Linked DNA regions of Daphnia pulex. The protein of the gene in region 1 purifies or fractionates together with the protein of each later gene. This does not show direct contact. Links are inferred from orthologs where the notes say so. Each region holds a gene or a part of one and is shown in the gene's direction. Other genes may lie near its edges.

What was found.
Region 2: the proteins of zinc finger protein GLI2-like (region 1) and F-box/WD repeat-containing protein 1A-like purify together in Drosophila melanogaster (affinity purification with western blotting; 4 studies listed by BioGRID, with this or other methods). This does not show direct contact. The link is inferred for Daphnia pulex from reciprocal best matches to the Drosophila melanogaster genes ci and slmb.
Region 3: the proteins of zinc finger protein GLI2-like (region 1) and smoothened homolog purify together in Drosophila melanogaster (affinity purification with western blotting; 3 studies listed by BioGRID, with this or other methods). This does not show direct contact. The link is inferred for Daphnia pulex from reciprocal best matches to the Drosophila melanogaster genes ci and smo.

The regions. Positions count from the first base shown.
Region 1 is NC_060017.1:6,877,446-6,880,873, forward strand, and holds the end of zinc finger protein GLI2-like, read left to right. Parts: coding exon 1-348; intron 349-418; coding exon 419-2,062; 3' UTR 2,063-2,824; downstream 2,825-3,428. Other genes in the region: complex III assembly factor LYRM7-like, read right to left, coding at 2,877-2,932, 3,005-3,086, 3,150-3,220, 3,309-3,381. UniProt on the Drosophila melanogaster protein: Has a dual function as a transcriptional activator and a repressor of the hedgehog (Hh) pathway. The full-length ci form (ciFL), acts as an activator (ciA) while ciR, its C-terminally truncated form, acts as a repressor. Involved in segment polarity.
Region 2 is NC_060024.1:7,565,569-7,569,827, reverse strand, and holds the start of F-box/WD repeat-containing protein 1A-like, read left to right. Parts: upstream 1-1,459; 5' UTR 1,460-1,878; coding exon 1,879-1,923; intron 1,924-2,143; coding exon 2,144-2,254; intron 2,255-2,316; coding exon 2,317-2,425; intron 2,426-2,488; coding exon 2,489-2,628; intron 2,629-2,691; coding exon 2,692-3,003; intron 3,004-3,063; coding exon 3,064-3,177; intron 3,178-3,231; coding exon 3,232-3,309; intron 3,310-3,373; coding exon 3,374-3,636; intron 3,637-3,702; coding exon 3,703-3,774; intron 3,775-3,849; coding exon 3,850-3,967; intron 3,968-4,034; coding exon 4,035-4,205; 3' UTR 4,206-4,259.
Region 3 is NC_060027.1:3,198,479-3,202,987, forward strand, and holds the end of smoothened homolog, read left to right. Parts: intron 1-51; coding exon 52-261; intron 262-329; coding exon 330-502; intron 503-598; coding exon 599-717; intron 718-797; coding exon 798-898; intron 899-973; coding exon 974-1,296; intron 1,297-2,034; coding exon 2,035-2,223; intron 2,224-2,288; coding exon 2,289-3,551; intron 3,552-3,611; coding exon 3,612-3,966; 3' UTR 3,967-4,352; downstream 4,353-4,509. UniProt on the Drosophila melanogaster protein: Segment polarity protein required for correct patterning of every segment. G protein-coupled receptor which associates with the patched protein (ptc) to transduce the hedgehog (hh) signal through the activation of an inhibitory G-protein.

The DNA.
Region 1 (3,428 bases):
ACACCCGGAGCAGTGATGCCGTCGTACACGCAACAACCGACTCAGGGCCAGCGAGAGATGCGACGGGCGTCGGATCCAGTCCGGCCGATGGCTGCTCAAACGGCGGTTCCTCTTCCGCCACTCAACTCCGCACTGCAGAGACACCACAGCGTCAACAACGTACAACAGCAGCCGATGATGCTCCGTACAGCTACCGCCACAGGGACTAACAATCCGGCCGCCCGCGGTGTCAACGGGTATCCTCCCAACCACCCCAACAGCGGAATCGTCTTGGAAGAAGTCGGTGAGGGTCACATGGTCGAAGAGAAGCTTGTCGTTCCTGACGAAATGCTCCAGTATCTCAATCAGGTAAGAATTGAACGACTAATTAATCGATTAAAATTGTTCTCTAACGGATTTGAATTTTGTTTTTAAAAAGGTGAGCGTCAATCAAGATGGAAGAATGGCCTCTCCACGATCCTACTTTATGGGTCGAAGCCCTCGACCGGATTCGGCTCCGCACAACCAGTTCAGGGCGATGCAACAACAACACCAACAGCAACAGTTCCACCAATTTCAGCAGCAACAACAGCAGCAACAACAGCAGCAACAACAACAACAACAGCAAATGACTAATCAGTACAATCCAGCGACAATGATGGGCAGTCACAATTATCCAGGTCACCATCAGCCCAACAATACCATGGTTGGCTACAACAACGGAGCCGTCATGCACATTAGTCCGACGCCTTCCGCTCGCAATCAACTGGGAATGCAAGCCAGTCCGGCATTGGCGGCCACAGCTCCTCAGCACTTCAATGGGCCGGCCGTTTGCCATCAAGCTCAAGTTGGCCAGCCTCAAGGCCAACAGCAACAAGCTCCTGCGATGTACGGCACCTGCCCAGCTCAACAACAATCACCTGTCGTCGCCAGCGGTGTGGTGGCAGCCCAGCAAGGGCAACAACAACCAAATATGGTCGGATGTAACGTCATGCAGCCGTCAAACTACTCGCAGGCTGGAGCCAACTACGGGCCAGCCCACGCGGCCGGCGTCAATGCCATGCCTTACAACAACTACAACAACCAACAACCTGCCATGGCGATGAATAATGGCTACATGATGAATCAACAATGCGGTCATATGCAAGCCGCCCAACAACAAGCCAATCCGGTTGCCCAGGGATTCAACAATCCTTGCTCTCCGTGCACCGGCCATCATCACCAACAGCCCCAGCCCGTCTGCAACAACAATCCGGGAAACAACCAAAATTGGCAATGCGGATATCCCACCCCCAACAACATGACGCAACAACAACAGCAACACCATCAGGCGATGCCGTTCCCCCAGCAGCAACAACACAATAATGTTGCGTGGCAGAACAACGCCATGCAAGGTCCAGGAAACGGAGCGTCCAACGTCCAGGTTCCGCCGACCAATGCTCAGTCTTTGATGTACAACAACATGCAGAGCAACGCTGCGATGGCCTACAACAACTATCCTCGTCCGCCACCTTACAGCCAAGTGGCATCCGCCATTCAATGCCAAGATGTGAGCCAGTCTCAAGATTTCATCAACCGAGCTCGCGTTCAAGGAGCTGCCCAGCAGCAGGGGCCATCAGCTACCCCGGTCCAGCAGCAGCACAGCCAGCAGATTAACAACGCGGCCACAGCCGTTCCGTCTGTGGCTACCGGTGTCACAACGCCGAGTAATATGCGTCCTGAGACGTACCAGCGCACATTGGAATATGTCCAGCAGTGCCAATCTTGGTCATCGACAGGAGACGGCAACAATGGCGGACGAGCGGCTAAGGAGAACAAACCACCCCAGCAGCAACAACAACAACAACCTGGGGCTTGCGAGCCTCAAATGACCAAGACGGCCGAGACGGCCGCTGTCGGACGGGCCTTGCTTTCCCCTGGCCAGGACGCCGTTTCCAGCTCAACGGATCGACAGGAAGCGGCGGCGGCGGCGGCTGCTGCAGCTCTGTTGCCTTCCTCGGCCAACAACATGGTTGTTAACGACATGAACACTTCACTCAATTCGCTGATGCAGGAGAACCGTTTCTTGCAAATGATTCAGTAGTATAGCAACTGTTGCGTACTCTGCTTCTTCTTCTTTCTCGTTGAGTGAGTTCTAGTGCAATAAGCTGGGCAAACCGCACGCCAATCAGAGCCGACAAATTCGTCTCTTTTGGCTGGGCTCCGATGGAACAAGACTGCGTGTGAAGATCTCGCCTCAATTACTCTTTGTTTTTGTTTTTTTAATTATTATTTCTTATTTGTTCAGTGCTGCCTACGTGTCTTAATAATAATTTGAATATTCTTGTACATTAAATTGTGTTCCGTGGAGACTCAATGACGTGCGCCGAGTGCCAAAAGGGGAAGAAAAAACAATTTTGGCCGTTATTTCGTATATACTGTGTGTGTGTGTGGTTTGTGTCTCTGCCTTACTTTTGCAGCTGTTACTTCCCCCTTTTTTGGGTTTGGGAGGTGTTTTTGTGGGAGGGGAGATGTGTATATGTGTGCCTTTGCGTGTCCTTGTTTCTCGTGCCTGTTCGAATAATATTTGTTGTGATACTGCCTTTTTCGAATTAGTTTGTTTGCTCCATCAATCATATCTCCGGTGCCTTGACAGCTTAATGATTTTGCTGCAGTGCCATATCGGAGCGCCTTGGTACCATGACAGTTGTATAATGATGTGAACATCATCATATATATATATTCTCTTGAACAGCAAGATTTTTTGCATGTGGACTGGCCCAAATGGCAGCCTATGAATTGTGCTTTGTGGTACTTGAAAACTGTACTTACATGTTCAATAAAATAAACTGTATGTCTGTTGAAATGTTACAGTCTCTCTATTTTTCACAATCATATACACTAACATACATTCTAAATCATCCCCTATATGGCGTGTTGTTGTGCATAAAGGTGTCCTTTGTTATATGGAGTCCTGCCACACATAAAGAATAATAAAAGGCAATTAGATAAAGAATGAAGATCACAATCTCAAGGTATAAATTACTGAAAGTGTTTTCTTCGGTGGGGGTGACCTGCACAACACTTGTCCGTAGAATTTCCTCTGCTTGGTTTCCAAGCTTGATTAACTGCCAAAAAAATAACAGGGTATCACTTGGAATGTCGGCACGAAACGAGAATGATCAACTTACTTCTGCTATTGCTTCTTGACTTGATATTCTCTGATATTTTCGGAATTCAGAATTGATTTTCAGGCGAGCGGCTATAATGTAAATAATTAAAATTCATCAATTAACCTGATATATGACTACATTTCTTATTATTTGTCATATTTCGAAAGAAATTCCTACCATCCATGGCGACTTGATCATTGGTAAACACTTTGGTACGAGTTCGATGTAGACACCGAAAACATTTTAGAACCTATACGAGGCACAAAATAAAGGAAACCAATAAATAAGTTGGAAATC
Region 2 (4,259 bases), on another chromosome or scaffold:
AAATGAAGACAAAATTGCGCATTAAGTAAACTGGAATCCCCCCCCCCCCCTCTCCCGAAAGCACGGTCTTGTGGAATTTGGATAAGGAAACAGAAAGATAGAATTTGCCTCTGGAAAAGTAAAAACTTGAACCTCTTGGCTCTTGCATTGTTGCATATGGAGTGCGGTGATTGCACGATGCAGTGATGTCTAGCTGGCTATCTGCCTACAATTGTTTCCAATTTAGAACGACAGATGGCCAAGCTTGAAAAAATTTAACATTTTCTTTTATTTGCATCATTTTCATCGGAATTCTTACCTGCAAGCGCATCATCAAGGTTACCTAAAACCACTTCCGCCTTGAGTTTAGTCATATCTCTTTCACCCAACTGAATTACTGAAGGATGTTAACATACGATTACACCATAACCCATAAGGATATATAATAAGAACCCAATCTGGATGCTTGATGCTACAGCAAGAAAGGATAATGTCGCAACCACTGTTGATGACTCGATGGTGCCGTAAAATTGTGATTGCGAAATATTTTACTTTTAGTTTGCGCAAATATACTTTTCCTGCTTTAGATACTTGTTGACTTAACAGCAATAAAATGAGTGAATCGCTTTCTTATATGATGCGCTTAGAGTAAAGAATTGGAAATTTTCTTCGTGTTGATAAGAAGAGAGAAAACTTTATTTTAGCACAGGTTATTCAAGCGGGACAAACTTTCTACGAGCTTTCACTCTCGAGTCTCGACCTTCTGCCGGTGAAGCGAGTCTCGTCTCGCTTTCTTTTTACCACGTTTTAAATGCAGGAACGCTTCGACTAGCGACCTACAAATCTCATTATTTGGCTATGGCCAATATTCAACTTGGTCAATGATGCCAGTGTTTGGTTCTAGCCTTATTTTATTTATTTTATAATTGACAAAAGAGAACTGGATAACTCCTCTCTTCGCAGAAGTGCGCCATTTGTTCAACCGGTACGTTTTCCAGGTTATGAAATCGTGAAATCCGATCGTGTTCTACTATATACCACAATAATCATGCGATCGGACGAAGCCTGTTGATCGAGCACAAACTTGATGACTGCTAGCTAGGGTACGGCTGAATTGCTTCGACATCAAATAAAGTGAAAACGGCAGACCTGACTTGTTAGCTTCTCAATTTGGGAAATTTGAAAAATAAACCATTTTGTTAAGATAAATGTATTGTGAAATAGTTGTACATGAATTCATCGAATTTTATAAAAAAATGTTGAATTAAAGTATTACATTCTTTCAAACTTATTTCGTTTTCTAGGATTCATTGATGGTTGATTACTTTAACCATTGGCATCTTCTATAAGTTAGTGTAAAGAAATTTTCATTAAGAAAAGTTCTAATAGTTAATTGCCAAAAAATGAACATTAATGCTACTTTTTACTAATTCGGCAGTAAATCTCATTTGTCTCATTCTCACCGACTTCTCGGAATCTCGGTTCCTTTATCGACAACTCGACATAAAGGAAATTGTGCAATGTTGTGCACTGCAAGTCATCACAAAAGAGAAATTAGCGCACATCTTCTATTGTTGGAAATACAGTTAGCGCCACAGTGTTCAAATCGCCAAGCTTAGTGCTCACAACATAGTGACTCCAAGTCTCAGGTCCAACCAGTCGCAGGTTTTAGGGGGTTTAGACTCTAGACTGTTAGGTAACCCCGCCCCTTGGCTGCATTAAACAAGAAAAGTTCGAAACATGGACACCGTAGTCCGGAGCGCTAGCTGCGTTACATTTATGTCAGTTTGCCAGTCTCGAACGAACCTAGTGTAGAGGAAGTGGGGTTGGGGAAGAGAAAGACTTTTGTAGTATTTGGTATTGTCAATTTGCTGTGAAATAAGTGAGGAAGGAAGTGAAATGGAAGCTGAAAACATCGTGGAAGATGTTCCACCAGCGATTGGGGTAAAATCGTGCTCGCTAAATTCGTTCTTTAAGTTGAAGAAAAGCCTTGAATAAATCCAGAAGAAGAGACAGTGCTACTGGGAATGGCAGCCATGTTGGAGGCCTAATTTCAATATTTCCTTGTCAACTTCCGAGATTTGTCCTTGGTTCTTCTTTGCTCGTCGTTAGTGTTGTTATGCATATTTCTCAATAGCTGAAGTGTTTTGTGCATTCATTCTAGGCAAATACGATGCTCAGCCTTGTACGAAGCCGTTCCGAACTATCGTCCAATTACCTAGTTGAAAAGGAACCTTGTCTCAAGTGCTTTGATTCTTGGCCAGAATCTGATCAGGTGTGAAGACTATTTTTATTCTAGTTTATAATCATGTTCCTTTAACAATAATTGTTTCCCAGGTGGAATTCGTGGAGCAGTTATTGCAGCGAATGTGTCACTACCAACACGGCCACATTAACTCGTTTTTGCAACCAATGCTTCAACGAGATTTTATATCATTCTTGCCCAGTAATTCATGGAAAACAAAATTTGAAATAGTACAAATTAAACTAATTTTTATTTGAAATTTAGAAAAAGGTTTAGACCATATAGCAGAAAATATTTTAAGTTACCTGGATGATAGTAGTCTTAGAAATGCTGAACTAGTCTGCAAAGAATGGAGACGTGTGATTGCAGATGGAATGTTATGGAAAAAACTCATTGAAAGAAAAGTATATCTTTAAAATTATGAGTATAAGTTTGAAAACAAAATTTTAAAAATCTCTTTATAACAGGTACGAACAGATTCTCTATGGAGAGGCTTGAGTGAACGACGAGGATGGGGAGCCTATCTTTTCAAACCCCGTCCTGGTGAACAACAGCCAGATCATTCCTTTTACAGAAAGTTATATCCACGCATCCTTAAGGACATTGAACAAATTGAAAACAACTGGCGGTGTGGAAGACATACACTGCAACGGATAAACTGTAGATCAGAAAATTCGAAGGGTGTTTACTGCCTCCAGTATGATGACCGACGAATTGTCTCTGGGTTGAGAGATAATACCATAAAGATTTGGGATCGACAAACTCTCCAATGTGCAAAAGTTGGTTTTCATTAGTTTGCGAGATTTAATTACTTGTTTATTTATTGATTTACCTTGAAGGTTCTTACTGGACATACGGGATCCGTACTTTGTTTACAGTACGATGAGCGCGTGATAATTAGCGGATCGTCTGATTCAACTGTCAGAGTGTGGGATCTCAACAACGGGGAAATGGTACGTTAATTAAATCATTTTATAAAAAGCATTATTAATATTACCCATTTTAAGGTCAACACACTCATTCACCACTGTGAAGCCGTCCTTCATTTACGGTTTGCTCATGGACTCATGGTTACGTGTTCCAAGGTAACTTTAAAAGCTTGTAAAAATAGCATTTGTAAATATTTATGTGGCCTTTTAAATCTTTCAGGACCGAAGTATTGCTGTGTGGGATATGGTGAGTCCCACTGAAATTAACCTCCGTCGTGTGCTTGTTGGTCATCGTGCAGCTGTGAACGTTGTTGACTTTGATGACAAGTACATTGTCTCTGCCTCGGGTGATCGAACCATCAAGGTGTGGTCTACAGCAACCTGTGAGTTTGTTCGGACATTAAACGGACACAAGCGTGGCATTGCCTGCTTGCAATACAGGGACAGATTAGTCGTCTCTGGATCATCCGATAATTCTATTAGGTAAATGCCTTCAGCTTAACAATTTCTTGTAGATCTCATTTTCATTTTGTTGTAATGATCTTGCAGGTTGTGGGATATTGAATGTGGCGCTTGCATACGCGTACTGGAAGGTCACGAAGAATTAGTTAGATGTATCAGGTAAAGCATGAGTAACGATTCCCAAAATGATTATTACCATTTTTATTTATTGTCGGATGATTTTAAATGATTCAGGTTCGATTCCAAACGCATCGTAAGTGGAGCCTACGATGGAAAAATCAAAGTTTGGGATTTACAAGCGGCGCTAGACCCCAGAGCACCAGCTGGGACCCTTTGCCTTCGAACCCTCGTGGTATTATTCACTTTTAACATCTTGGTTAAAAATAATCCCTTAACTATTTTACACACGAACATTTTAGGAACATACCGGTCGAGTTTTTCGACTGCAGTTTGATGAGTTCCAGATCGTAAGCTCTTCTCATGACGACACGATCCTCATTTGGGACTTTCTTCACACAGATTCGCCTTCTAGTTTAACGCCATCATCACGTACCTCACCCCAGCGCACTTACACTTACGTGTCGATGTAAAAGCCCCTCTAGGTCGTGGAAAAGAGATACAGGCATCTAACTGAAGGGGTTAGC
Region 3 (4,509 bases), on another chromosome or scaffold:
TTATTATGTGCATTCATTTGCTATTACTAACGAAACTTTTTTCTCTTGCAGAATGAGGTGAGAGAATTGAAATTCAACATCACTCCAAAGTGCCAGTCTCCTCTGGTGGAAACGGACAATAGTTTGGCTTATGTTGAAGGAGTTGACGGATGCGGACTGCCTTGCACTTCCCCGCTGTTTACAAAGGAGGAACATGAACAAGTCCAACGATTCACACAGACTCTGGTCGCCATGTGCCTCACCACCAATTTGTTTGCTGTGGTAAGATAATAAACACGTTTAGAATATGGAGATAAATGAATCAATAATCAATCGATTGCTATGTGAAGTTTACGTTCATGATTGACTGGCGCTCCGCTTCACGCTACCCGGCCGTTATTATTTTTTACATGAACGTATGCTTCGCTGCCGCTTGTATCGGTTGGATTGCTCAATATATTCCCAGTGCTAGACAGGATATCATATGCCGGAAAGATGGAACAGCTCGTGTATCAGAACCAAGGTATGATGCCAACTCAGCTTAAGCCGCATTTCAATGTCTGTAGCAATTTTGGTTTTATGCTTTCACGATTTCGTTTGATTTATTTTTTTATTTTAGTGGCGGAGAAACGCTGTCTTGTGTTGTTATATTCATCTTAATCTATTATTTTCTCATGGCTGCTTGTGTTTGGTTTGTCATGCTAGCCTATTCGTGGTTCGTCAGCTTCCAAGCCCTGGGTAGAATTTTAAATTTTTTTTAACTGCCACCCCAAAAAGAATGAAGACAAAACTGAATGTCATCATTGAAATCTCTCTAGGTAAAATCCGTGAGAAAGTCAGCTCCAAAGCTGCTTACTTTCACTTGGTCTCCTGGTCAATCCCTCTGGTCCTTACAATTACATGCATGGCGCTAGCACAGGTTGAGTTTTATTTTAAACAAGGAATTTATGTGTGAACGTATTTGTTGATTTATATTTATTTATTTCCAACGCAGGTCGAAGCACAAAGTCCTCATGGAATTTGTTTCGTGGCCAACAGCAAAGTGGTGCGGTCTGGTTTCGTTCTGGCCCCTGTAATGATCTTGCTTTTCATTGGCCATGTGTTTCTCTACCGCGGTTTGCTTATTTTGATTCGTCTCAAACTGGGCAGCGCTGCCTCAATCTCCGCTTCCGCCAATTCCAAGTTACGCAACACCATCGTTCGACTCGTCTCGTTCTCAGCCTCTATTATCTGTGCTATCGGTTTGTCCATTTTCTGCCATGTTTACGAATTCGATAGACGAACTCAGTGGAAAACTTCCTTCCGCTCCTACATGGTGTAAGTAATTTTTAAAAAATTGTATCTAAGGATCTCCGCTTAAATCATAATACTTTTACTTGTAGTTAAATTAGCTAAGCTTTTCACGTTCCTTATCACTCTTATTTTCATGGGGTATTAATACTGGTTTTTATCATGGCGTCTATATGAGTACGGAATTTAAACTTGCTTTAGGTAGTCCTGGCTATCGCACCCAATTTCAACATGGCCTTGTAGTCTATTTATCCCCATAAAACTAGTGCGCAGCCGCTTTTCTATCCAATAAATTAATAATTCATTTTCAGATGGCACGTTTCTGTGCCACGTGCAGAAATTCGCCAACAACGCTAATAAGAGTTTCCTTCTAAATCCAGATCATTAACTGAAATTGAATTTTCTCTGCCAATCTTTCCTTATAAAAATTCAATTAATTATGAAACCAAACTATTTTTATCCAGACTTTTTTCAATTTGTACTACTACAAAAAAAATAATTATCTTTTCCTTCCCACGAAACGCTTTCATCCCCCCCCCCCCAAACTAATTAGTTCCAGCATATAAATGTCGTTTTATGTGTAGGAGGCTTGTTACCTCGAAACGTTTATAAGCCCCATAATTTCAAAATAGGTATTTTACGCCCCCGTTTTGAAGTAATCAAGTTGAATAATTTACCATTTCCCCTCAAACTTAAAAACAATAATTTTTTAACTAAAAGAAAAATTCATTGTGTTTTTTTCAACGTTCGTATTTGACATTGCAGATGCCTGGCCAATCAAAACACCTCTCGCATTCAGAATCAAGGCCTTGCCGATGACTGTGAATTGGAATCTCGACCGAGCATGACCATCACCCAAGTTCATTTGATTGCCGTCTTTGGAGCTGGTGTAGCCGTATCTTCGTGGGTCTGGACAAAGGCTTCCGTCCTGGCTTGGCGGAGGTGGTACCGAAGGTATACACACTTCTTGTTTACTCCCTGTCGGCTTGTTTGCATGTAAACATCGTTTTTATTTCCAGGACCTTCAACAAGAGACCGTTGGATGAACGCGTTCGCATTCGCAAACATAAAATCATTGCTCAGGCGTTTGCCAAGCGAAGAGATCTGAATCACATGGGCCGGATGTCTATCAGTATCCACAGTACGCACGACGATCCAGTCGGTTTTGGCAACCTTGATCTGAATAGCGCCGCTTCCAATGACGTCAGTTCTGCATGGGCTGCCGCCATTCCCAAATTCGTCACACGCCGTGGCGCTATCGTCGGCGCGGCTGGAGCCTTTGGACTGCGGCGCAATTCGCTGGATTCCGAAATAAGCATGAGCGCCGTCCGGCGTATTTCGGTCGAATCGAGAGCCAGTCAGTCTCGCCGTCACTCATTCGATTCACAATACTCGGTACATTCTCAACAAACGACGGATTTGGAGCGGCTCACTAGACTACACTTCCGCCATGGAGGTCGTAAACGTAATAATTTGCTCCGGGGCGGAAGAAAAATGGCGCTGAGACGCAGGGGAAGTATTACGTCTCAAGCTAGTTCGAAAGGGTCGCAAATATTGCCAGCCATTACTAAACTTGCGCTGAGAAATCGCCGAGGAAGTATCACTTCACTGGCCAGTTCTAAAGGCTCGCAAATCTTGCCGGCCATTACCAAACGTAGAAACCAATTACTTCCTCTTGGATCAGCTGGAGCGAGCACTGTTGTCCAGGTTCAACCCAATGACAAGCGGCAATCATCGCAAGTCGATCTGGAACGAATTGAGCGCTTCTCGCTCAACCTGCCGGGCGACGGAAGTAGCGACGAAAGTGACATCGATAATGGAGAATCATGCAAAGTTACTACGGTCCCTGTCACCCAGTCGACTCAAACTGCCGTGACGTGGAACGTGGCCACACAGACGTCGCCCAGTTTATCGACGCTTCGACCTATTTCTACCAAGAGTGCTAAAACAACAACGCAGTCTGTGTCTAAAGGCACACAGGTGACTTCATCTTCTTCTTCATCGTCACCATCATCCTCGGCATCCACTTCACCGGAAGCCGTCCGTAAATCGCTGCCGAAACCGTCGACATCGGCCCCAACGAACATCTCGAGCTCAAAGTGCCACAGAGAACGAGGTCAAGCCGATGGGTCACCCAATGGAAGCTCATCAGACGTATCGGATCACATATCAGCCAGCGGGCCTGGCCTAAGTTCGCCTTCGCAATCATTGCTCGATTATTTGCTGCCCATCAAATCGGAGAAGAAATCTGATGATCGACAACTCAACGGTTCCAAGAGCAGGTAAATATTTAGCACATTTGCATTCGTTTGCAAAATTGGCGTTGACATTTAAATTTTCAGTGGCAGGTCCAATAGGAACAGAAGCGCCCGCTCTCGCGGGGTCGAAGCAATTGAGTTGGACCGTTCGTCTATCGCCCGCCTTCTTGAAAAACTACGAGAGGAGGACCACAAAGCGGCGGTTGAAGCTGCCAATGCCGTTATCGATTCAGACGAACGTCCTAAACGCTCCTACGACAGGCGTCATCGCGTTGAGCGTAATCGTCGCTCACAATCTGAACGCCACGACGGCAATGAAATTGAATTAGATTGCTTGCTGAGCTCCAAGAATTCGAATCGCTCTGATCGATCCAGAAAATCCGGCAGTCGACGCTCCCGTTCCAAGCAAGAAACAATTGTCAATGACGATGTATCATAATGATCAAATCTTTTCTTAACTCCCTTTTCGGTCTTGACGATTCAACTTTATTTCCTTTTTCCTCTCCCGTATTCCGACATTTTATTTTATTCTTTCCCCATATACCTGAACGTGACAATCGTTGTTACCAACGACCTCCGTTTATTTTTAAAAGTTATGTGACTCAACTTTCTATGTAACTTTTTTTTATCTAAATCCAACAGAGGACGAATCTCATATGCAGCTAAAAATCAATCAATCAGGTAATGTGAGTCCCTTTGTTGCCTTTCAAACTCTGACTTTGGAATTCCATGCATTCTTCCACTTATAGATGGTTTTAACTTTATCGAACCGGATCTCTTCTTGGCAAATAGTGTCAATAAAAAAAAATGTAAGTGCCATTTGAATTGAACTTTGTCGAAACTACTTTTAGAATATCCCAGTGTAACCCAGTAACTTGAAATAGGAACACAATTCGAGCTGCCGATTTTTTCACGGCATAATCAAATGTGCGCGTTCAGCTGAGCTTTTTTAAATCATTCGATTTATACCACGGCTGAGTTG